Drosophila melanogaster: one gene and its partners. Changing the gene in region 1 together with any one later gene gives a genetic interaction. Each region holds a gene or a part of one and is shown in the gene's direction. Other genes may lie near its edges.

Region 1 (4,239 bases):
TCAGGGGGCGGCGGGATCAGCGGAGGCGAATGGAGGCCTGTAGACGAGGACTTTTATCAAGATACGGACAGATATAAAGATGCGGACACGGATACGAATGCGGATACAGATACTGAAACTTTCACTTGTACAGTGCTCACTCCAATAAAAGATTCGAATAACCACTTCATAAGCATATCCTAAACATCTGTATGCGTATCTAAAAGTGGTTTCCTTAGGTGATGAATTTCTAAAACGGACACAACACATTTTGAATATCCTAAATTTCAAATTCGAGCGCAATCTGTACACATAAATATGGCGATGTATATACAAAACGGACATTTAATGTACACTTTATTTAATCAATTACATCTGTTTAGCAATAAAAAAAAGATATATGAAACCCAGTATCAAGTTCTTTCTCTGTTTAGATATATATTTATATATACATTAGTATATACATTTCTATTATATTTTAATATTCAAATATTACAAGTAGGAATATTTTTTTTTTTAATCCAATAGATAAGATCACTTTTTAGGTTTTTTATTGGATTTTTTCTTACAAGCAACTGTGGAAGTATTTTGAAATTGACTCAAATCGGCAGAAAAGAGAATCTGAAATAATGATATTATAAGAAACACACAGACTAAATTGCAACTTTCAGTGTACTTACAGCTTGAGCCCAACCGGCATACTTTCCGTGTAGCTTTTGAAAATGTTTCGAGACCTCTTCGTAAATCTTCTTGGTTACGTTCTTTTGGCCGGTTAGATGTGGCAGGTAGTAATTTTGGGCAATTCTGTAAATATGAATGTCGACGGGCACTGACTCCAAGTGACCCATTGACATAAGGCAGATGCAATCGGCCACTTTGTATCCGATTCCGGGTAGCAGTGTCAGCTCCTCGCGAGCTTTTTCGAACGGCATGCTCTTTAGGCTTATGAACCAGTTTTGTCCCCCCTTTTTCTGGATCTCTTGCAGCGTTTGTGCTATGAACTTGGCCCGATAACCGAACTTGGCAGCCCTTAGCTGGGCATTAAGATCCTCGCATGGGATGTCGTGGAATCTATTTATCGTGGGAAATGTATACGCATCGGCACCATTGAAGTGACCAATCTTGGTGCCAAATGTAGCGCAAAACCATTCAATCATAGATGATATGCTAAGAAGAAACCAATTTACTGTATTTAATGATGGGATTCGCATTTGATTGAACCACCTACCGCTTGATGTTATTGTTCTGACTGCAAAGGAAGCTAAAAATGTTTTCGAACGGCTCCTGAGAAAGGAGGCGCACAGGCTTACTCAAGAACTTCACAAAGTTATCATCTTTGCTTAACCAATCTTTTTGGTTGACCTTTAGGTCGAAATCAACACGTAGGTAGTCAGATATCAAGGAAGAATAGTCCTTCGTGGCCAAAGGACTGCTGGTTCCGTATGCCTCGTAAGTTATGAAGGATTCTTCTTGCTGGAGCACCCAGTAGGTGTTGAACACCACTCCGCCATATTTCGTTCTATTACCATCGCATATGGATCGCCATCTGGCATGTAAAGTTGTTTTGAGTACATATGTTCATTATTAGTATGGATAGCGCTTACCGGAAACTCTGTCCTCCAAGCAAAGTTCTTTCCAAATCGCATTCTTCGAGGGATAAGCCTATGACACCCCGATCCTGTAAAACAGCCTTCATGTTTGAAAAAAGGCGCTTTTTATGGAAACCTAGGTTATGAGCCAGCATCCGGTTTTATAAACAACTTAAGCCGTGTTTTGGCATACTTAACAATAGTACTTTGTCACGTTTAAATAGTAAACCACATTAAAACTCGAGTTTAAATCGAAAGAAACAAACTCGCTGAATAAAATGTGTTATTGCTATCAGCTGTTTAGCATTTGTTTACCGTTCGGGGTATTCACAACATTCTACTTTTGCTTAGACGCCAGTGTTGGAAAATGTAAATTTTCTGTTCACAGCTGCACAATAAAGTACCAATAAATGCAGCAATGTAGACGAGGGCTTCGAAAAATGCACCTAATTGAACAGTTATATAGTCAAGCCTGTTGCCTTGAAAGGAAAAATAGTTGCAGTATTTTTCATGTTGCGTTAAAGCACGCAGTACGAAATTACCTTTAGGTATAAATAAGACCAGGTACATCCCGTACATGAAATATCCCGATTATATTATCGAACCATATATTATCGATAGCAGACGACTAATTTGATTTGCAAAAATTGCACTCCAACAACAATGATTTCTATCTGCTGTTCTCGTTTTTCATGCATTTTATTTTTGCTGTTCCTGATCTTTTCCCTCGTGCTGAGCTACATATGGTGGAGCCCGACGAAAGGAGGAACCAATCCGGAGGTCCTGCCGGTCGTTCTGTGGCACGGAATGGGCGACACCTGCTGCGTACCCTTCAGCCTGGGTGCCATTATGAACCTGATCGTGGAGCAAACAAAGGGCGGCTATGTGCGATCCCTGCAGATCGGCGGCAATGTTTTGATAGACTGGCAGAGCGGCTTCTTCATACATCCCAACGAACAGGTGGATTACGTTTGCAAGCAACTACTGCAGGATGAGCACCTGGCCAAGGGATACCACGCCATCGGATTCTCGCAAGGCGGCCAGTTTCTGCGTGCGGTTGCCGAACGTTGCCCGAATCCGCCAATGAGGAACCTTATCACACTCGGTGGGCAGCACCAGGGCATCTTCGGACTGCCCATGTGCCCCACCTTAACCGAAAAGCCCTGTGATTATATCACGAGGCTACTGGACAACGCCGCCTACGCACCGTGAGTCTATCTGTTGTTAAGGAATCCTAATATAATATAATTCCTGGAATTTACATGCTTATTAATCCAACACCACCATGTCGCCATCCTTGTCGTTTCCGTGTTAATTCTCTCTTCTCTCTTGCATACCATACACCCAGTGAAGTGCAGAAGGCATTGGTTCAGGCCACCTACTGGCACGACCCGATCATGGAGAACAAATACCGCCTGGGCAGCACATTTCTCGCGGACATTAACAACGAGCTCTTCATCAACAAGTTCTACATTGAGAATCTGCAAAAGCTTAAGAAGTAAGCGCGTATTATACTTATACATTTATCAAATATTATTAACCTCTGCTTTGCAGATTTGTGATGGTGCAGTTCCTAAACGACACAATTGTCCAGCCGAAGGAGTCCCAGTGGTTTCAATACTACACCACTGGGCAGAACAAAGTCATCCAGCCCTTTACTGAGAGCAAAGTCTATCAGGATGTACGTATGCATATCTATCACCTAACGTTCTAATATGAAATGTACATTTTTTCCTAAAGCTGGGACTGGACAAGATGCATCGACAAGGACAACTTGTCTTTCTCGGCGTCGAAGGTGATCACTTGGCCATATCCAAGGCCTGGTTTATCCAGAACATAGTGCCTCTCTTACTCGAAAAATAAGATGGTGCCCAAAAAGCACGTATTGTGACAAAAATGTTTGCATAGGTTTAATCCATTCTTCCTATTAACATAAGCATTTTAATATTAATAATGACTTTTTGATACTTTTATACATGTTTAATTAGATGTTTAATAAATTCAGTTTGGACATACAAAATGTGTTGATTTACTGTTCTTATTTTCCTCTTTTTCTCGCTTTCACTGTTTATCTTAATAACTTAAACGTTAGGATTACGTCTCTTGTAGATGTCTTAAGTAGTTGTGCCCGATATTTCTCTGAAATATTCAATGCAAGGCAACCGCGTGCTCCGACTAAAATTCCATACACGTATCCGTATCGTAAATACTCCGTATATATATATATATATATATATATATATATATGTATGTATGTATATGTATGTTTTGTTAGGTATATAACGCTATGTACATGAGGCAAATAACAAAAGCAGCTTACAGACAACCATAGACAGATAAATGTTTACACATAGCTATAGTTTAGATAGGCGATTGGGCGGAGAAAATTGCGCGAAAGGTTGGAAAAAGGAAAGTCAGCGGGAGCGGGAATTGTAGAATTGTATCCAAGTCATATGGCAAGCACATTATAACTTGGACTTTGGATTGGTGTTGCGCGCAAAGAAGATTTCCGGATCCTTGTGCGGACGCTGGATCTCGCGATAATTGTTGACTATCTTTTTGGACTCATCTTTGGGACACGATTGCAAATTGCGAAACACCTGAACCTGCAAATCAAAAGAGGTTTCTCAAATTTAGTGTTCCAAATGAAAGTATTTGGGGGATCATCTTG
Region 2 (8,230 bases), 600 kb from region 1:
ATGAAAATATACATTCATGGCGAATGCGAATGAAACGTTAATTGCAATCTACAAGTAAACAATTGATATATTAACGATGTATGATCGCAGTATTTGCAGCTAGCAAAATCCAAATCGATTCGAATGTAACGAGCATATAATGTTAAATTTGTTTATATAATCTATGAGATGGAGAACTAAGCCGAACAGGAAATCATTGACAATTGTTAAAGCTCAAATACTTATTAATTGGAGGCTAAGGAGGCTGGAAATTGAAAATAATTAACTATGCAAGAGCATTGAAAGTTAGGACAACCATTTGCATTTCTCACTCACTAAAAGACACGAACACACTGTGGCACTTGCATTTTGAAGGTATACAGAATTCCGAATTATATTAAAACAAATTATTGCAGTACCAGTTTTATTTTTTTTTGTAATACTTGTTAATACCTTTTCTTTCTGAACTATAGGGTTTTAACCTCCAGCAAACCAGCCACATTTTCTCTATATATCTCTCACTATTTATCAAGAAAAAATAACAACACAAAATTCCCAGCGGATCCAACGAAAAGATCCATAATTTTAAATTTTAATTTTAAGGCAACTCTATTGTATTTGTTATGTTATTTAGTAGTTAGATTCGAAGAGGCCTAGGACCTCTCAATCTAGTTTCAAAGCAGGAATATTGTATTTATTTCTGATAGCACGATCCGCTGGGATAAGTTATATCTATCTCTATATAAACACATACAGCCAACAAGATAACAACATAAAGAGTTTTGGACAGATTTCAATGGCCTATCTTTGTTATTGTTACGTCACAGTTATAAATCTTAAAAGTTAAAACAACGAAGCTCAAATGAAAATTAACATTTTAGACCAGATTAGTAATGAAACAAAATTAGAGGGCGGAAACCACATATGATATATATTCTTCATTGGATTTGGTTACCTTAAACGTAGTATAGAAATCTTGATATCATTCCACTTTAAAAAAGCAATACCCTTTTAAGTTTTCACCCCCTTCAGTTAACGAAAAGTGGTTTAGAAAACACTGCCTATAGCTTAGGAAAAAATTGAAAATTCGCCTCAGCCTGAATTGAAGTAAAAGTTAACGTAATTATAAAATTCAACATTTTGCCATAAATTTCTATTGTGGTTTCCCCCCTTAAAACCATTGCGATCCAATTTGATTTAAGTTTTAGAGATTCCCATTGTTATATTGTTTAAGAAACCAATTTTAATCAAAACGCATGAGCATAATATTAAAAGATCTATTTAAAAACCCCTGTATGGATCTAATTTTTAAATTAATATTAAAATTGAGACAAGCTGCGCTGATTCATGAACGAATTTAATTTGCCAAGTTTCATAACGAATAGGAGTATTTACAAACAGTTAAAAACTAAACTAAATCAGAAACTAAAACCAATATTAGCCACGAATTGTACCTTTCGATTTTGAATTTAAATAACACTCTCGGTATTTGCAAGAAAAATAAAAGAAATAAATAAAAACAATAAGGCAAAGAGTAAACGAAGCTGCAATAAAAACAATTGATGTTTAAAAGTACTACGTTAACAAAAACAAACACGTTTTACGTCAAGCAAATAGAGCTAATTTAAAAGATTGTTATCCTCTCATTTTTTAACACGAAATAGAGATCCTAAATACAGAAAACCAAACAAATTACAAGTTTTAATAAACGCATTCAAAATGTAACGGAACGAAATTACAATTGTAAGAGATGAAAATAATAAATGCAAAAATTCAAGTATACATTCAACGAGTTTAAATTTCAAATTCTGAAAGCTGATTTTTTTTGAAAATTGTACGCAGAATAATTTAGGTTTGAAACTCGACTTGTGGCCATTGAAGCTTTGAACCACTTTTGTTCAGTGGTATATTTTGAGAATCTTGCGGTATATTTTAACGGTCATCAATGGTCACACTCTGCAGGCGCTGGTCACACTACAAATTTTCCAAGTCTTTCATATTCCGGAAAACAAAACAAAATTAATTAAGTAATTAGACACGAAGTATCTAGGAAAATGCACAGGGAATCACGGTGATTAAACGGAAATGTGGAGAAGTATCGAAGCGTAAGAATCGACGGCGACCGTCAGTCCACAATAACACCACCCACGAGCAACAATAACAACAATACAACTAAAACGGGAGGCAACTGCAAATATACACACACCGAGAGAAATCAAAATAAAAAGGTACAGAATATGTGTGTGTATGCATAATTGTTTGATGAAAAATAGAATTACTTTATATTTAAAATATATCCCGGATATTTGCGAGTGTGTGTGTGTGTGGGAGAGTGCGACAACAACATCATCAGCCATAGACGAACAACAACAACAATAGCAGTTTGACCCCCGCACAGCTGTGAATGTTTTCCATCTCTCTTTGGCGCCCGCAATCCCCATCGCCCTCTCTCTCTAATTTCGCATTCTGCTGCCTTGAATTCAAAATCAAACTTCCAATCGCCACATACATATTTACCTCTGTTTCCAGCAATTCGCCGTTAGTCGGGAGCCCTAAGCTGAGAACGTGCATTTGTACATATACATATACATGTGGATCTCTATAACTTCCCCCGTTAGCTTAGTTGCAATATTTTCTTTGTTGTGCTATTGCCATCCCTTTTGCACACCACCCTACCCCACCTACCCGAAAACTACGCACTTTGCTTTTGGCCTGCTTATTGCGTTGTGTTTTCGATTCTCCCCCTGTTTTGCGTTTCAAAAGTCTTATCAGCACGAACAATTAAATGTGCGCTTTAAAGCTGAGTAATAAATTGAATGCTTTTACATCAACAACAATTTGCTACCATTTTCTGCCCCTCCCCCACACAAGCGTACACACACACACATGTGCAGTCAATGACCCATTATGCATGTGTGGGGGGAGGTTGCAAAAACACGAAAAACGAAATCCACTAAGACGTCTTCCTAATTTTTGACTTTGATTTTGAGTTTGCTTTCGAACCTTTCGCTTAACCGTTGCATTTGACCTCGTTAAATCTCCTCCTTCATTTGCTTTTGGCATGTGTATTTGTATATATTTTGTTGCTAGGCTCCACACGCACACACTAAGGCAGTGACATGTGTGCAATTTTGAAGGGCATCGCCACTTCGGCTTTTTAGCCTCTCCCGTCTCTCTACCCTTTCAGCCCACTCCCCCTCCTATTACCATTTCCCGTTTCATTTCTTTCTCTAGCTTCTTGTTTTTCTGGCTTTGCTTTGCCTTTGCTGCATTTCACAGCTGTCGCTGTCCTTGATTATAGCTTTTCTTTGCTTTGCTTTGCTTTACTTTAGGGGCTCTCTTCGTCCAATTTGTTGTTGCTCATCGCTTTGTTATTATGATTTTCCTTTGAAGGGGGTCCATTACACTAAGAAAAAAGAGCCACATAAGAAGTTAAAAATTTAACGTAAAGAAGCTAACAAATTTATTCCATTTACCATCTGGTTTTGCCTTGAAGTATGCAATATATTCGGCAGACTACATTTTGTTTCTATTTCACCGTTTTCAATATGTTTATATGAGGAATTTGGTAACTATTTTATTACTTTTTTATAATTATATTGCCTTTATTTAAGTACTCATTAAGTGTTTGGAGCTGCCATACGCAAATATATTTCTAATTTGAAATTGAATCGCAGTTTAGTTTTTCCCGTGTACTGCACTCAGCAATCTCTCTCTCCCTCGTCCCTCTTCTTCCACCCGTCAGCCCCCACCAACCTTCTCTCTTTTGCGCTTGCTCTCCCGATTGTCGCTCTCTGCTTTATGCTGGCGTCGCTGTCGCCGTCAGATGCTCGTGAGCTCCAACGTGCGCTGCTTTCTGCTTTCTGCTTTGGGGGCTCGAAACTCTGTTGCCAGTTAATTTTCAGTAACTAGTTGAAGTAGACAACAAAACGAGCGAAAACGAAAACACACACATATGTAGGCTGATATATGTGGATAGGGGAGACGGAGGGCCAGCAACAACTAAAAACATCATCACCAAAAACCACAACAATAGTTGCAAGTAAATAACAAAGTCACAAAAATCCGTCTTATATAGGTATATTTGCAAAAAGTTTAAATTTAAATATTTAATAAGTGTGTGATTATTTAACGGTGATGCCAATGGTGATATTATAAATGAAGACATTCATAAAGAGTGAAAAGAATTCCACCTCCAAGAGACAACAACAAAAGCATCAAATTGCAGCTGACTTTTATTATTTTGTTTGTTTATTATTGATGTTGCTGCTGCTGACTTGGTTGCTTGGTGATCTTCCATGTGGTGGCATCACAAGTACACACGCACACTTCCACTTCCACTCAAGAGTCTTGCACAAAAGCAATGCAATGCAAAGGCAACAACAGCGACAGCGACGAGAGACAGTATTACTTCGCTTATTGCGTACAGTAAGGCCAATAAAAAGCAAAAACAACAGGCACAGTAATGCTTCTCCACACAGAAATCGAAAGAGAATTTCACAATTTGTTAAACTAACGAAGCCAAACCGTGACAGAAAGACAGAAACGGAAAGATTTTTGATATGTGGTGGCCATAAGGAAAAAAAGAGATAGGGGGCGATAGGGGAGCCAGCGCACACACACACACACACACACACAGAAACATACAATCACATACAAACACTTGACAAAGTACAAGAGAGTAACAGCAGTAACAGCAGAATTAGCTCATCCCAAAGCGTAGAAGAGTGGTGAAGAGAGAGGGAGAGCCATAGAATGGGGCACAGTGGGGTAAAGCGATATATTCAGAAAGAATATATTATAATTTGAAAATTTTATTTTTCCTGAAATTTGTGTAACAGTTTTCATAATTCCGTAACGTTCGTTTGATTTACGTTGCTGATCGATCTGCTCATGTTTCTCACATCCCCACTGTACATTTGTTGATTTCAAGATTGCGGTGGGGCTGCCCCTCTTCTACTCTCTTTCTGGCTCTCTCTCTCTCTCTCTCTGGCAGTGCTCCGTGACTTTTGAGCAACAACATTAAACAGCTGAGCTTGTTTGAAAACAACAGCCACCCAACCAACCAACTAGCACAAAAGCCCTCACCCACCGAAACGGGAAACGGAATTGAAATTGAAACGAAATCGCCAAGAGCAAGTGAGTGGTGAGAGAAAGGATGAAAGAGTCTGTGGAGGGGAGGGGAATAGAGCATAACGGTATCCCGAAAGTATGCAGCAAAAGTCCGCTGAAATCCGTTTCGAAGGACGGCGATTTTTGCAAATGGCAATGAGAGTGAGAGAGCTGGAGAGAGAAAGCGGGAGTGGTAGTGGGTGGATTTGGGCGACGACGTCACAGATTGCTGACATAGTTTCCTCATTTAGGCCAAGTATGCATGTGCATGTTCTCTATGTATGTGTGCGAGAGCAAGAGATTCGCTGGTGACCTACATAACCATGAATATAAATATATATACGGGACATAGATAACTCAGAAGGTAACTCGACCTCCTCCAGATCATATCCCCTGACTTGGCGCCACAGTCCCAATTGGCTAAGTTAAACTTTTGCGTGATAAAATTACCAGTAATTAAATGTGCATTTTTAGAGAACATCTTATAAAAAAGGATAAAATTAGAAATGTTAGGAACACTTTAAAATTTAATATATTTATTCCTTAAAAATATCCTATCTATATTTTTAACTCCATAACGTCTGAAAAACTATAAACTTAGAAAGCAAAATTGTAAATAGGTATTCAAGTAACATCCCAATACTTCCTTAAGTTGATGTCTCTATGCTATAGATGACACCACCTGACCTATCTCTAATTTGAATATCCTTGCTTATCCTTGTGTCCATTAATTGCCATTGCAGGCAGCTCCCGTTTTGCTCTGGACGGTGCCAGTGAGAGTTGACGAATGCGGAGCAGTTCGTGGCTGGCGGAGCAGCAGCTGGGCAACCGGAAGCGGATAGCGGATGTAACTCAATAGCAATATTTCAAAGGAACAACATTAAGCATACAACTTATAGATAACAAAGATAACACCGCCTTAGCCTTAGTGAAAAACAACGAGGAGACGACCACTCCAAAACCAAATCAAATCAAACCAAACCAATCAAATCAAAAGCCAGGCAACTACAATCCCAAATAAACCAACAAAATGTCCTCGCCCAGTGCCGGAAAGCGACGCATGGACAACGATGTGATCAAGCTGATCGAATCAAAGCACGAGGTGACCATCCTGGGAGGCCTCAACGAGTTCCACGTCAAGTTCTTCGGTCCAACGGAGACGCCCTACGAGGGCGGCGTGTGGAAGGTGCGCGTCTACCTGCCCGACAACTATCCCTTCAAGTCACCGAGCATTGGTTTTGTGAACAAGATCTACCATCCGAACATTGACGAATCCTCGGGTACGGTGTGCCTGGATGTTATCAATCAGGCCTGGACGGCGTTGTACGATCTATCGAACATATTTGAATCGTTCTTGCCGCAGCTGCTCACATATCCCAATCCGGTCGATCCGCTCAATCGGGATGCGGCCGCATTGTACCTGCACGAGCCGGAGGAGTATCATCGCAAGGTGGCCGACTATGTGCAGCGCTATGCCACCGAGGACGCGTTGCGGGCGGCGCAGCAGGAGCGGGAGAGCAGCGACAGCGAGTCGAGCATGTCCGACTACAGTGAGGATGAGGCCAGGGACATGGAATTATAATATCGGTTGGACCGCCAGCCTACGGAACTACCGCTAACACTAACACTGACAACAGCCTAATACAAATGCTTCGAGAATCCATTTTCCTGCCACCCAATTTCCCCAAACAAACACACTCACTTATACTTTCACCATACCCCTTCAGTTGGCGATGGAACAAAAAGCAACAATATATATATATATATATCTATATATATATATACATAATTGATAAATGATAATTGGATTTTAAGATAGAAAGTGATTCGATGATGGCGTGTGATGATCAGCGCACACACGCAGATACATATAAATATATACATAATATATATATATATATACACTAATGTAAGCAGAAAGAAAAACAAGATTTAAAAACTCTTAGTTTAGCCATCAGTAGCTGATAACAAAACGGATTGGAGCAACGATCGCAACAGATCATAGCAGATATATAGACCACAGTAACAAAAAAAAAATGGAACGGATGGAAGAGCAAAATAGAAACAAACAGAATAGAAACACAAACAAACAAACAAACAAAACCGATAAAATACAGATAGCAGAGATAAAAGCATAGATGCAAGCGCAATTTAAATGGTTATAGTAAGTGCACATGCAATGCGAAATTTGACGAGAAATTGCTTTGGCCTTGATCTGGCATTAAACAGACTTCGATGCTCGTCGTTCTTTAGAGTTTAACAAGTTGATAGAAAACGTAAACACAAATACCACCATCAAACATAAGTTTTTGGAATGCCCTCACCACATATAAATACCACACGACGATAACCCAATTATCCAATTTGCAATCCAGAGGAACGGAAACCTTAGAACGATCGATCGATCAGCAAAACTGCGGATTATTATTTGTTCTTATGTAATAGTGTGTACTTTATATGTTTGTCTTGTTTTTGTTCCGTTTAATTGTAAGCGCGAATTTTTTTTTATTGTCTGTATATGTGTATTAAGATATTTGGAAACCGCAGAAAATCATCAGACTTAGCAGCACTTTCTCTGCCGAAAAGTAAAAAAAATATATATCAAAAGGTGAATACGATCGATACTAAATGAAATGAAATAGAAAGCCAAGACAAATCCTAGAGGAAAGGCATGGAGGCGATTGCGTGGAACAGACGGAATAATCGTTGCAGTTCTTTTTCTTGTTAATTAATCTTATTATACGGTTATTATGTAATATTTTAAAATAGGATTCGAATTGATCGTGTAATTAAATGCAATAATTCTTATGTCTAACTTATGTCACCCGTGTTTAAGCCAAAAGCATATATTTTTTTATTATAATACATTTTGTCTTTACACCACATTTACTACATGATTTATTGTTCTCTCTCTCTCTCTCTCTCTCTCTTAGTCATCTCTCTCCCTCGTTCTCGCTTTTTAAAATTGTTAATCAAATTGGAGAAATGGAGAATTGGAGAACATCCGGTGGGTTGGAATTTTGATGAGGATGTGATTTTTAGAAGGCGGGTTCTTAAGTGAAATCAAATGAAAGTGCAGATATATAGACATTAGCGATCTACTGTACTATGTACTAACACTATAACAATACTTATGCCT
Region 3 (4,901 bases), on another chromosome or scaffold:
CAACAGTCGATCGACGAGTTCCCCGGGCGTGAAAAATTTGCATCTGGACGTCGCCGCATCAAATTCTCGACTCCAGCTCCCGGAACTCGGCAGGATCCGTGAAACGTACGGTCAAAATATAGAACAGTGTGGGGAAGGGCACCAAGCACATAAAGGCATAGTGGTAATTCAGGGAGGTGAGGCCGTAGGCCAACAACATCCAGTGCACAGCTGGGAAAGTAAGCTGCTGGTATACTTTATGTATGGTGAATGCGCACTTTGCTTACCTATGATGACCACGTTTTTTAACTCCCACACCGACGAGTGAACCAATGCCTTTAGGGTTTGATCCAGTTTGAGGGAATAGTGGATGGCATTGGCTACCATGGATATGGCCACGCTAAGGTACGGAAAGGAGTAATCTGAAAAAGAAAAGATCTCAAGACCAAAATATTAGCAAGCACTTAAGTACTCACAGATCAACCCACATCCTAACGCATGGATAAAGGTGAGCAGGGGCAGGAAGTAAAGAGCCGAGTAAATCGGCGCCTTGCTTCTGCCCCCCACATCCATAATTTTGCTGACTAGCGGGCGTATGAGAAACATGTTCACCAGGCACAGAAAGTAGAAAACCAGCACGATGGTTTGCCTGGAAATTGAACATTAAAGTGACTATTGTGAACACCTGGAGCCTTGGGTGGCTGGGTCTTACAATGGGTAAACTGCCTCCTGGGTGCAGTAGACTCGTGCCTCATAATTGGGGCTGGGGTTGTAAAACAATGTGTACCAGTCAGTAAGTTTTCGAACATCACAGGCGTAGAGGCGCAGCTCCCACATGGGCTCCATTAGCAAGGTGGCGAGGATGGCAGATATGGCAACCTCAACGAAAGCGCTGGCCGTCAAGATCAGCTGCTTCCGCGAAAACCTATGTGAATTCACTAAGTAAGTTCTTCTTCCAGTTTGATTAGTTCACTCACTTGCGATCCTTGGCGTCCATGTCAATGAAAAAGCAGTGCATCATAAGTGGCAGCATGGTCATGAATCCCAGGTATAGCCAGGAGTACGTGCTTAACTCGTCGCGGCATGGAGAGCATGCGTAACTTTGGTTCACCTGAACAATATAAAAGTAAATTATTTTCCAGGCGCCGTTCCGAAGGATGCTAGAACATTAACCCGAGATCCTCTGGGACAGACCCCGCAGCTGCTCCAGCTGTTGTTTCCTAGCGGTGATCGCCCACAGTAGGCTCCTGGGCAGCGTTCCAACGCGTCGTACATTCTCATGAAATCAAAACAATTACTTCGTATTGTATATTACATTAAACAAAATAAAAACAATACTCCTATCGATATCGGACTTATCGTTATCAGTAGGACCACTGAATAAACGAATAGGTTGTTCGTGCACTTAAATTAATACTAATTTATAAAATGATAATACATCAGAAGCACATGCGAAATGTATTAAAAATAAGGAAATTATTTTCTACAGATTATATAATGGGCCCTAAGACTGCTTTCTAATTTGATCAAATTAATAATACTATATGTTTTTATATATTTATTTACAATTAAACATGACTAGTAGAGTGTACATTCTTACAGTGCATTTCAATGATTTGATTTTATTTGAAATCCCAATTGCCAGAAATTTAAATTTAGGGTCCCTTATATGTACCACATAAACCAGTTCGATAGGCGCGCTTTTGGCATGGCCTGATAACTCTGGTAAAAAGCACCGCGCGAACCGGTTCAATTCATAACTAGTTCGCCCGAACTGCACAACCCTAGCAAAAGAAATAGCTTAAATATAATTTATTTAACGCGAATTGGACAACGAGCGGGTAGAAAAAACCCTGTGGCCGCAACCGCGACGCTCGCAGGATACGCAGCTCTTCGCCGTCGGGCAGGCAGGTAAAAAGCAATGGCAATTGGAGTTGACCGCAGAACAACAGCAACGGCAGACGCCATTTTGTCTATTGGCCGGCTGATTTGTAAGCTCAATATTCGCGAAATAGTTACCGCGACTAGCTTCGAGTGGCGCAGCCAAGTAAGGGCTCCCCGCTGTCCAGAGCAAAGGCGAAAGGAAGAGCAATCGCCCATTTTGAGGCCTGCGAAAAGTTGGGACTCGGTCGTCAGTTCGCTCGATTCCATTTGCGAAAAATAAATGTACGTGCGCGTGAGGAAGTGTGTGTGCGCGTGAAAAAACAGTGAAAAATAATAAAAAGCCGCACTGGCCGCCGTCCTTGGGTGACTTCCGTTAATCTCTTACAACTTTTAAAGCTATAGAAAGAATGTGAGCAATTTACCGCCCTCGACACACCCAATGAACCGCTAATTTTGGCATCTTTCTATAACTTTATGCGTAGTTATTTTCACCACCCTTCGCCTACACCCTTTCCCCGCCCCTTTTTCCACCAGTGGCTCCCACCCACCGACCGACATTCCGCTTAAGGATGATGCCGGGCGGAGAGAGATAGAGAGTGAGTGCAAAATCCGTAAACTTGGACGTGATGTAATTTTCGGCAGGAAAATGTTCTTTGTTTGCCCAAAAAAATAACAATAAATAAATAAGAATGAAGAGCGAGGCGTAAAACAAAAACAATTTTAAATTAAACTCAAACGCACACACAAAAAGAGAGGGTTCTGTGGGTGAGCGTGCGTGCGTGTGAGTGGGTGAGAGCGTAATTTGTGTGCTTTTGGAGCATTATTTGGCGCTTGCTGCCCCGTCTATTAAATAATATTGATTTTTCATATTCCAACCCAGCGCTCTCTTACACACACGCAGGACCACTCACACACCCAAAACTGAGCTTCGTACACATGTGGGCCTTTTCGGTCTCTCTCTTAGCGCTGTATTTATCCGCCTCTTATTGCCTCTTTCGCTTCGTTGCACTTTATAGATTTTTGCAAACTGGCCGCTGACCAGGCATTGGGAAAAAGGACAATAAGAGGGAGCCCAGAGCAAGAAGTCCAACTAACCGACCAACTGTGCCTCAAGAAACAGCAAATCAGCGGGGAACTCCCAAACTGGACAAGCAGAAGCCCGGATACCTCACATTTGCCATAAGACACCAGTCAAAAAACGACGCGCACTGCAGAACGCATTAGGATTAGCCCGGCACTAGAGCTCGTGCATTAACATCCGCTTCCGGTGCTCCGCAGAACGAGTTGGCTGGAGAGGATACCCCGCCACCATGACGTTCGACACTCGTAGGCACACCACCGGACAGCCGGGAAGCACAGCGCCCAGCTCAAGCAGCAGCACCACCAGCACAACAACCACCACAACGAGTCCGGCGCAGAGTGCCGGATCAGGATCGGGCATAGGAACAGGCACAGGAACAGTCGCCAACTCGAGTCTGCCAGGAGGAGGATCAGGTAGCTTGGACGGCAACCAGGATCAACAGCCGGCCACAGACAGTCAGAGCTCTGATGACGTGGCCGCTTCCTTGTCAGCGAACAGCGTGGACAGCACCATCACAATAGTGTAAGTGGTCGTGCTGCCGTATTTGCATGACTCCGCCCAATTAGTCGGGTTTTGTGCGTAGCACCAGTATGACCGCCACCCCTAAAGATCCCCAACATTCGTGTGTTTACTTTTGCGTAGTAATTCTTCCACATGCATTCTTTGTTTGTCTATGGTTGGGCCAGCACAATGTTCGTAATTCATTTAACTATGTTTCAGATGATTTTGGCCAGGCCACTGGTTAGTGACCATAAATGTGGCAATAAATGTTATCTTTCTTTTTCTTCGATAGGTGCACTTGGCTGCTGTCCAGTTTTAGCAATGAACTTACCAAGCTTTACTAATATTACCTTACCCGGCTATTACTATCTCATTTTGAATGCCCGTCCACGGCCTATCTTATCGCTTGTCCATCAAAATAAGCTAACACTGAAAATTACAAAAAAAAAAAAAAAAAAAATGTATGCGTTTTGGCATTTATTTTAATAGAAATAACCATTTAATAAACAGAAATGTTTATGGAAGGGTGTGCTTTGATTGACCCCCTAAGAACTTTTTTTTTTATGTGTATTATTTAATTTGTTATTTTTAATATTGAATAATTGTCCATTTAATTAAATAGGCCTCCAGAGAAGCTTATATCCTCGTTTCCCACGACGAAACTGAGATCACTAACGCAAAAGATATCCAATCCGCGTTGGGTGGTGCCGGTGCTGCCTGAACAGGAATTGGAGGTTCTCTTAAATGCAGCCATCGAACTGACCCAGGCTGGTAAGTGTGTCCAAACGATTTATTTGATACCCTCTAAAGTCAATTTATTTGCAGGTGTGGATCACGACTGCGAGCCATGTGTGGAGTTTTATCGCAATGGACTGAGCACTTCCTTTGCCAAGATCCTAACCGACGAGGCGGTGAATTCGTGGAAGAATAACATCCACCACTGTATCCTTGTGTCTTGCGGCAAGCTTCTACATCTAATCGCCATCCACATGCAGCGAGACAATCCCTATCTGCTTGACTTGCTGGCTATTGTTTTTGATCCGGAGAACAAGTTCAACACATTTAACGCAGGCCGTCAACCGGAGTGCTTCGCAGCGCCGGACTACATCTGGGGTCAGTTGGACAGCAACAAAATGTACGCCCGTCCGCCGCCGGAGCCCAAGAATGCGCGTGGCTGGCTTGTGGATCTTATTAACCGCTTCGGACAGTTGGGAGGCTTTGACAATCTACTGGAACGGTTTAACATCGGACTGGAACTGCTGAAGCGCAACCAAAACAAGTGCACTGGCAAGAATATTAGTGTCGAGGGTAGGGTTGAAAATGGGGCTCAGGATAATCGCCTCACCCTTGCCCTCATACACAGCCTCTTGCGTCCATTCGGTCAATGTTATGAGCTTCTAATGCCTGCCACTATAGCCAAGTACTTTATGCCCACCTGGAACGTTGTGTTAGACCT
Region 4 (5,319 bases), on another chromosome or scaffold:
CGGACGCACAATTCGCGTGAACTTGGCGAAACCAGTGCGCGTTAAGGAGGACAGTTTCAAGCCTATCTGGGCAGATGACGACTGGTTGCAGAAGCATGCGGGAGCCACGTTGCAGCCGGAAGGCGAACCGGAGGCAGAGAAAGTGGAAACACCATCCACCGGGCCGGCAGTCATCGAAAAGGCAGAGAAACGCAATCCACAAGTCTTCTTTGACATACGGATTGGTGGCAATGACGCCGGTCGCATTGTGATGCTCCTCCGGGCAGATGTGGTGCCGAAGACGGCGGAGAACTTTCGGCAATTGTGCACCCACGAGCAGGGCTACGGCTACAAAGGCTGCTCCTTCCACCGCGTGATACCCGAGTTTGTAAGATAATAATTTGGCATAGTTTTCTTCATTTATGCATTCTTTCCATTCAAAAGATGTGTCAAGGAGGCGACTTCACCAACAACAATGGCACCGGCGGCAAGTCCATCTATGGCAAAAAGTTCAACGATGAGAACTTCAATCTGAAACACAACAGTTTTGGAACTCTTTCAATGGCCAACTCGGGCGCCAACACAAATGGCTCGCAGTTTTTTATATGTACCACAAAGTAAGCTGGTTTTACAATAAATAATTTAACTGAAATATTTCCTTCTACTAATTACATTTCTTTTGTTCTACAGAACAGATTGGCTGGACAACAAGCACGTCGTTTTTGGCCATGTCATCAGTGGCGCCGAGGTGGTGCGCAAGATGGAACGTTGTGGCTCCAAGTCGGGCACTCCCAGCCAAAAGATTGTCATATACTCCTGTGGAGAACTCAAATAAAGAAGCTTTCACAACTAGTGTACTCTTCAACGTTCTCATTTATTGAAAAAATCCACTAAGTCATAGGTATAGGATGCAGGAGAATCCTACTGGAAGTAGGTCCTGGGCTTCCTGAACGAGAACAGTTTCCTGTTGCCCTTGTGGTGGACACGCTGGACCAGAGGGAACTTGATCTTTGAATCGTGGAACTGCTTCACGTGCACGCGGCGGGTCTTGGCGGCAGGGATCGAGTCCACCTTAATGATCTGGATGGAGTGGGCACGGGCACGGTGGCGGGCTCCCATGTCGCGGTAGCACTGAGTGACGGCACCGCCGACAGTCAGGTCACGGTACTCGCGGTACATGTTGTGGGTGCCCGAGCGGGAATCGTAACGCAGCCAGATGCCGAAGTTCTTGATCTTCACGGGCGACGTCTCGTACACCTGCTTGATGGACACGATCTCGCCGGTGGTCTTCTTGAACTTCTTCAGTTGGCGCAGGAAGTACCAGAAGCGGGATTTGGCCACGATGTTGTCGGGGGCAAAGATGCGCATCTTGTAGAGGGGAGTCTGGGGCTCCTTCTCGCTGGGCAGCTTGCGGCCCACGACCTCGTACTCCTTCAACTGCAAATGGGATTTGGATTAGTTTAAATGGTCTACATAAAACAATTGTAAACAAATGCGAACAGTCGCAGGCAAACAAACACACGCATGGCTGTTGGTTTTTGAAGGTTATGTTTTCGGCGGCACAAAGCAGTTGTATTTCTATTATATTGAATATGTTTGAATAGTTAGTTATAAATTCGTACTGAATAATAGTTTCTCACAATTATGTAAATTACTTTTGTGAGTTAGATAGGATCACATTTTTAAGAAAAGTGGCTCGGCAAACATTGTCCACGACAATGTCGTTTTTTACACAGAAATTACGGAGTTTTAAAAAATCCAACGATTACGCCAAATAGGCTATGTTTTTGCTTATCTGTTGCACGCATTTTAAACTAAAATAATGATTGTATAAATCATTTATTTTGGCAAATACTAACCAATCCCTTGGCTCTCATGTTGGACGTTCACGCGAAAAGGAAACGGAAAGAGCTTGTCAAATCGGTATGACACTGAACCTCGATTCAGGGATGGAAAAAACTATCGATAGCTAACTACGAATATTAGTTATGATTGATCCACTGTGATACTGGACGTGCTATAATGGTTCGTTTAAAATTAAGATAATTACTCAAGATAATATTTTTAAATAGCCCGTGTAAATAAGATTTTAACAATAATTGCTGGTACTGGCCAAGTATCGATATGCTTACATTGAACCGCAAGGGAAAAGCACAGCGATGCCTGTCACACGGTTGCATTTTTGGCAGTCACACCAACACGCTGCGCCAGCTATCGAACTATCGTCCATCACTAGCTTCTGCGCGTGTTTCAATGGCATGGCTGTAAAAAAGGCGAAAAATATTGCTAAAAACTTGTTTTTCACGCTTTATTCGAGCTCTCTCCGCAGCCAAATTGTGAAATATCCAATCCCCATACGCTACCCAATGTGCAGCTACTAAAATACGGTGAAAAAGAGCGCGAACAAATCGAGCAGAACGTAAAATGCAAAGCGTGGACGGCGACGTTCAAAAAGAAGAACATTTTTTACCCCGCACAAGAGACGCGCAAAAAGGCAAAAAAGCAATTCGACAATATCATTGTGCTTCTGGTCGAAACTAAGCCCAACGGCAATTGGGTGCACTTGTGAAATCTGTTTGCATTACGTATGCGAGTCCTGCGAGTTTATAAACAATTGAAACCAGGCGTTAATTGTATAAGTTCGCCGTGGGGTGGGGGCGCCCCGCTCTCCTTCCGAGCCGTCTCGGCTCGTCCAATCCAATCCGCTGGGCAAATTCTCTCGGTTTCGGTCTCTTTTTGGTTCAGTTGTGCAGCGAACTTCCGTGAAATCGGTTGTTGTTTTGGCTACGTTCTCTCCTTGCTGTTTGCGCGCGTAAAATTCATCGCTCTTTCTCTCCCTCTCTTGCCTTCCCACTCTCTCTCCCTCTGCCGCCTACAAATTGTGGGAAAATTCTACCTAAGCAGGGTACAGCAACAAGAACAACAACAGCAATAATACGCTGAGCAGAACCGACAAAACAACAGCAACGCATAGGAGGAGAGCAGGTAAATAAACGTGCATAATTGCTGTACATTTTGATTGTAGTGTCCATTCCAAGAATATTTCAAGTAAATTCGTTTATTTTTAGCAGTAAGTGGCTCTCACGTTGCCATTTTGTTAACATTTATTTTGGTATTTTCAATTATTTTGACTTTTCGTTTGCACCAGGGCTGCAAGATCAACCAATGACCGGCGATTTTTGTGCAATACAAATGTTTATGCCGTTAATATTCTGAAAAATTTATCGTGTATACCCCCGCATAAACATTTAGCCTTTGCTGTCATTCTAATTTTTTTTTATCGAAATACCAAACCCAATATCTCGTAATAATAAATTCGTTTCATTTCGCTTTCAGCTGCGTAAAGAACAACGAAAAGCATACAAGAAAAATAGCGAGAACCGGAACGGATTCAACGCCAACGGCATGCAAAGGTAATGAATATAACAATTTTTGTCTAAAGTGCGTTTAATTAATAGCGCTCTGATTATTTGTTTTTCTCCTCTTTTCTTAAATGTTATTATTGTTTTTTGCTGACAGCGTGTGATTGCAGATAATATGATGGAAGCATTGGATCAGCAACAAGCCAAGCTAACGTCTAACCGAGATGATGGAGAAGCGGGAAGAGGATCGGAAACGGGATCGGAAGAGGGCACCGGGGCAGGTGCAGCTGCTGGCGAAGAAGACGACATCGAAGAACTTCATTATGTGCTGGACCAGGCGAAGGAGGAAAACGAGAGCCACCAACATGGACAGAACAACAACGCTAAGGGAAATGAAGATGGGAAGCCGAAAAAGAACGATGACGTGATAGATGTAACCATGGCAAATGGCCAGGGTTTCAAAGACACACCTGAAGAAGAGACGACCGGAACGGAAGAGACAGCCGAAACGGAGGAGACAGCCGAAACGGAAGAGGCAGAGCAGGCAGAGGAATCTCTTCTTAATTCACGAAAAAGCACGGATACACCAGTCGATTTAGGAGCAAATTGCTTGACAACTGGCTCTCCCTCTAAAGATCTCGTAAAGCAAGAGCTTGTCGAAGACAAATCGGAGGAACTCAAAGAACCAACCAGCATCTCACTTAATGAGCAGTTCTTAGATGATATTGAACTAAAGACCGAAGTGGAGGACAAATCGGATTCCTTAAGTGAGACCCATATGGAGTTCTTAACGGATTCGGAAGAGCAGCCCTCAGAGTCTTTAGGGGCAAATCATGAGTCCGAAATCGATGAAAAGGTGGACCACTTCCAGCCAAAAGAATCTGACAGCAATGAAGTGGAGGATAAGTATTTTCAATCAGCAAATGAAGATTCCGAAAGCGAAATTGAGGAAACAGTGTACACCCCGCCAGTGATAAATCTTGAAACAGATTCTGAAAGTGGGGATAAAGAGTTCATATCAATTAAAGATAATGAGAGTCCTGTTTTGGAGATTGAAGGAGGGACAGAAAAGAGTCAGACTTCAGGAGATCTTTACCAAGCTGACGTTGGTGAATACGCTTCCACTGCACCGCCAGAAGTGGATGAGACTACATCGCAAACAATTGGTGTACCTTCTTTAGAGGGATCCGATACACTGGATTCTCCTTCGCTGACAATGGATGTAGATCTTCCATGCAGCGAAGACGGAGCGCCCCCTAATGTCATTAAAATCGAGTCTGATATGGAAGATGAAGCACACAGTGATAGTGTCAAGTTGAAAGAACATACTGTAGAGGTCGTTCCGTTGATAAAACTCAATGGGGCACATAAAGCTTTGAAAGAAGAGAAGCTCGAGGACGGGGAGGTCGAGGAGGTCGAGGATCCCGGCGAAGAGCTGGAAGACCCCAAGGAACAGTCTGTGATAACAAACCACACTGGCAACAACACTAAGGAGGAGGACACTACCGCTTCTCAGGTGTCAGCGCTTCCCCTGATTCTACCCGTTGGTACCACCCGTAGCAGAAGTATAAGCAGCAGGAGCAGCACTGTAAGCTCTGCTTCGCAGCCGCATCTGGTCATCGATCATCCAGAGAGCGAGCACAATGCCAAACCGCCGGCTCTGAAGCTTTCGCTGAAGCGCAGGCGCAGCAAGAGTTCCTCCGTCAGCCAACCCGAAAAACAAACAAAGGTGGAGGCAGGTGGCTTCGTTTCCTCGCTGCTTCTGCAACGCCTTCAGAGCAACTCTAATGTTATTCCGCCTGCCATCTCTACGGAGTCTCAACAAGTCCTTAGTTGTGCAAAGTGCAATTTGCAGTTCGATTTCGAAAGGTTTCAGGAGCTGAACAAGCACCAGGCCCAGTGCAGCGGGATCCAAAGTGCGAATAGTTCCCAGCTATCGCAGAAGCAGGAGCGATTCTTTCGTTGCTCCCAGTGTTGC

The links.
Region 2: of Ppt1 (region 1) and UbcE2H, changing one suppresses a phenotype caused by changing the other (phenotypic suppression), as found in Drosophila melanogaster (one study listed by BioGRID).
Region 3: of Ppt1 (region 1) and faf, changing one enhances a phenotype caused by changing the other (phenotypic enhancement), as found in Drosophila melanogaster (one study listed by BioGRID).
Region 4: of Ppt1 (region 1) and MESR4, changing one suppresses a phenotype caused by changing the other (phenotypic suppression), as found in Drosophila melanogaster (one study listed by BioGRID).

Annotation. Positions count from the first base shown.
Region 1 is NC_004354.4:8,687,972-8,692,210, reverse strand, and holds Ppt1 (Palmitoyl-protein thioesterase 1), read left to right. Parts: upstream 1-1,983; 5' UTR 1,984-2,132; intron 2,133-2,164; exon of another isoform or gene 2,165-2,192; 5' UTR 2,193-2,231; coding exon 2,232-2,776; intron 2,777-2,916; coding exon 2,917-3,066; intron 3,067-3,122; coding exon 3,123-3,249; intron 3,250-3,308; coding exon 3,309-3,431; 3' UTR 3,432-3,584; downstream 3,585-4,239. Other genes in the region: CG11294 (uncharacterized protein), read left to right, coding at 1-43; Ogg1 (8-oxoguanine DNA glycosylase), read right to left, coding at 514-600, 660-1,146, 1,208-1,525, 1,584-1,723; CAH3 (carbonic anhydrase 3), read right to left, coding at 4,034-4,174. UniProt on the Drosophila melanogaster protein: Cleaves thioester-linked long fatty acyl groups such as palmitate from modified cysteine residues in proteins or peptides.
Region 2 is NC_004354.4:8,087,752-8,095,981, reverse strand, and holds the start of UbcE2H (ubiquitin conjugating enzyme E2H), read left to right. Parts: upstream 1-1,917; 5' UTR 1,918-2,207; intron 2,208-3,868; exon of another isoform or gene 3,869-4,057; intron 4,058-5,834; 5' UTR 5,835-6,121; coding exon 6,122-6,673; 3' UTR 6,674-8,230.
Region 3 is NT_033777.3:31,775,293-31,780,193, forward strand, and holds the start of faf (fat facets), read left to right. Parts: upstream 1-1,727; 5' UTR 1,728-1,890; intron 1,891-1,950; exon of another isoform or gene 1,951-2,272; intron 2,273-2,345; exon of another isoform or gene 2,346-2,459; intron 2,460-2,879; 5' UTR 2,880-3,173; coding exon 3,174-3,466; intron 3,467-4,067; coding exon 4,068-4,216; intron 4,217-4,270; coding exon 4,271-4,901. Other genes in the region: CG2126 (uncharacterized protein), read right to left, coding at 59-210, 267-401, 456-628, 692-904, 957-1,090, 1,153-1,260. UniProt on the Drosophila melanogaster protein: Ubiquitin C-terminal hydrolase involved in development and the imd/NF-kappa-B (IMD) signaling cascade. Required for eye and embryo development, and plays a role in compound eye assembly and oogenesis respectively.
Region 4 is NT_033778.4:17,545,571-17,550,889, forward strand, and holds the start of MESR4 (misexpression suppressor of ras 4), read left to right. Parts: upstream 1-2,198; 5' UTR 2,199-2,964; intron 2,965-3,315; 5' UTR 3,316-3,392; intron 3,393-3,498; 5' UTR 3,499-3,516; coding exon 3,517-5,319. Other genes in the region: cyp33 (cyclophilin-33), read left to right, coding at 1-367, 424-596, 670-814; RpL18A (ribosomal protein L18A), read right to left, coding at 901-1,416, 1,839-1,856.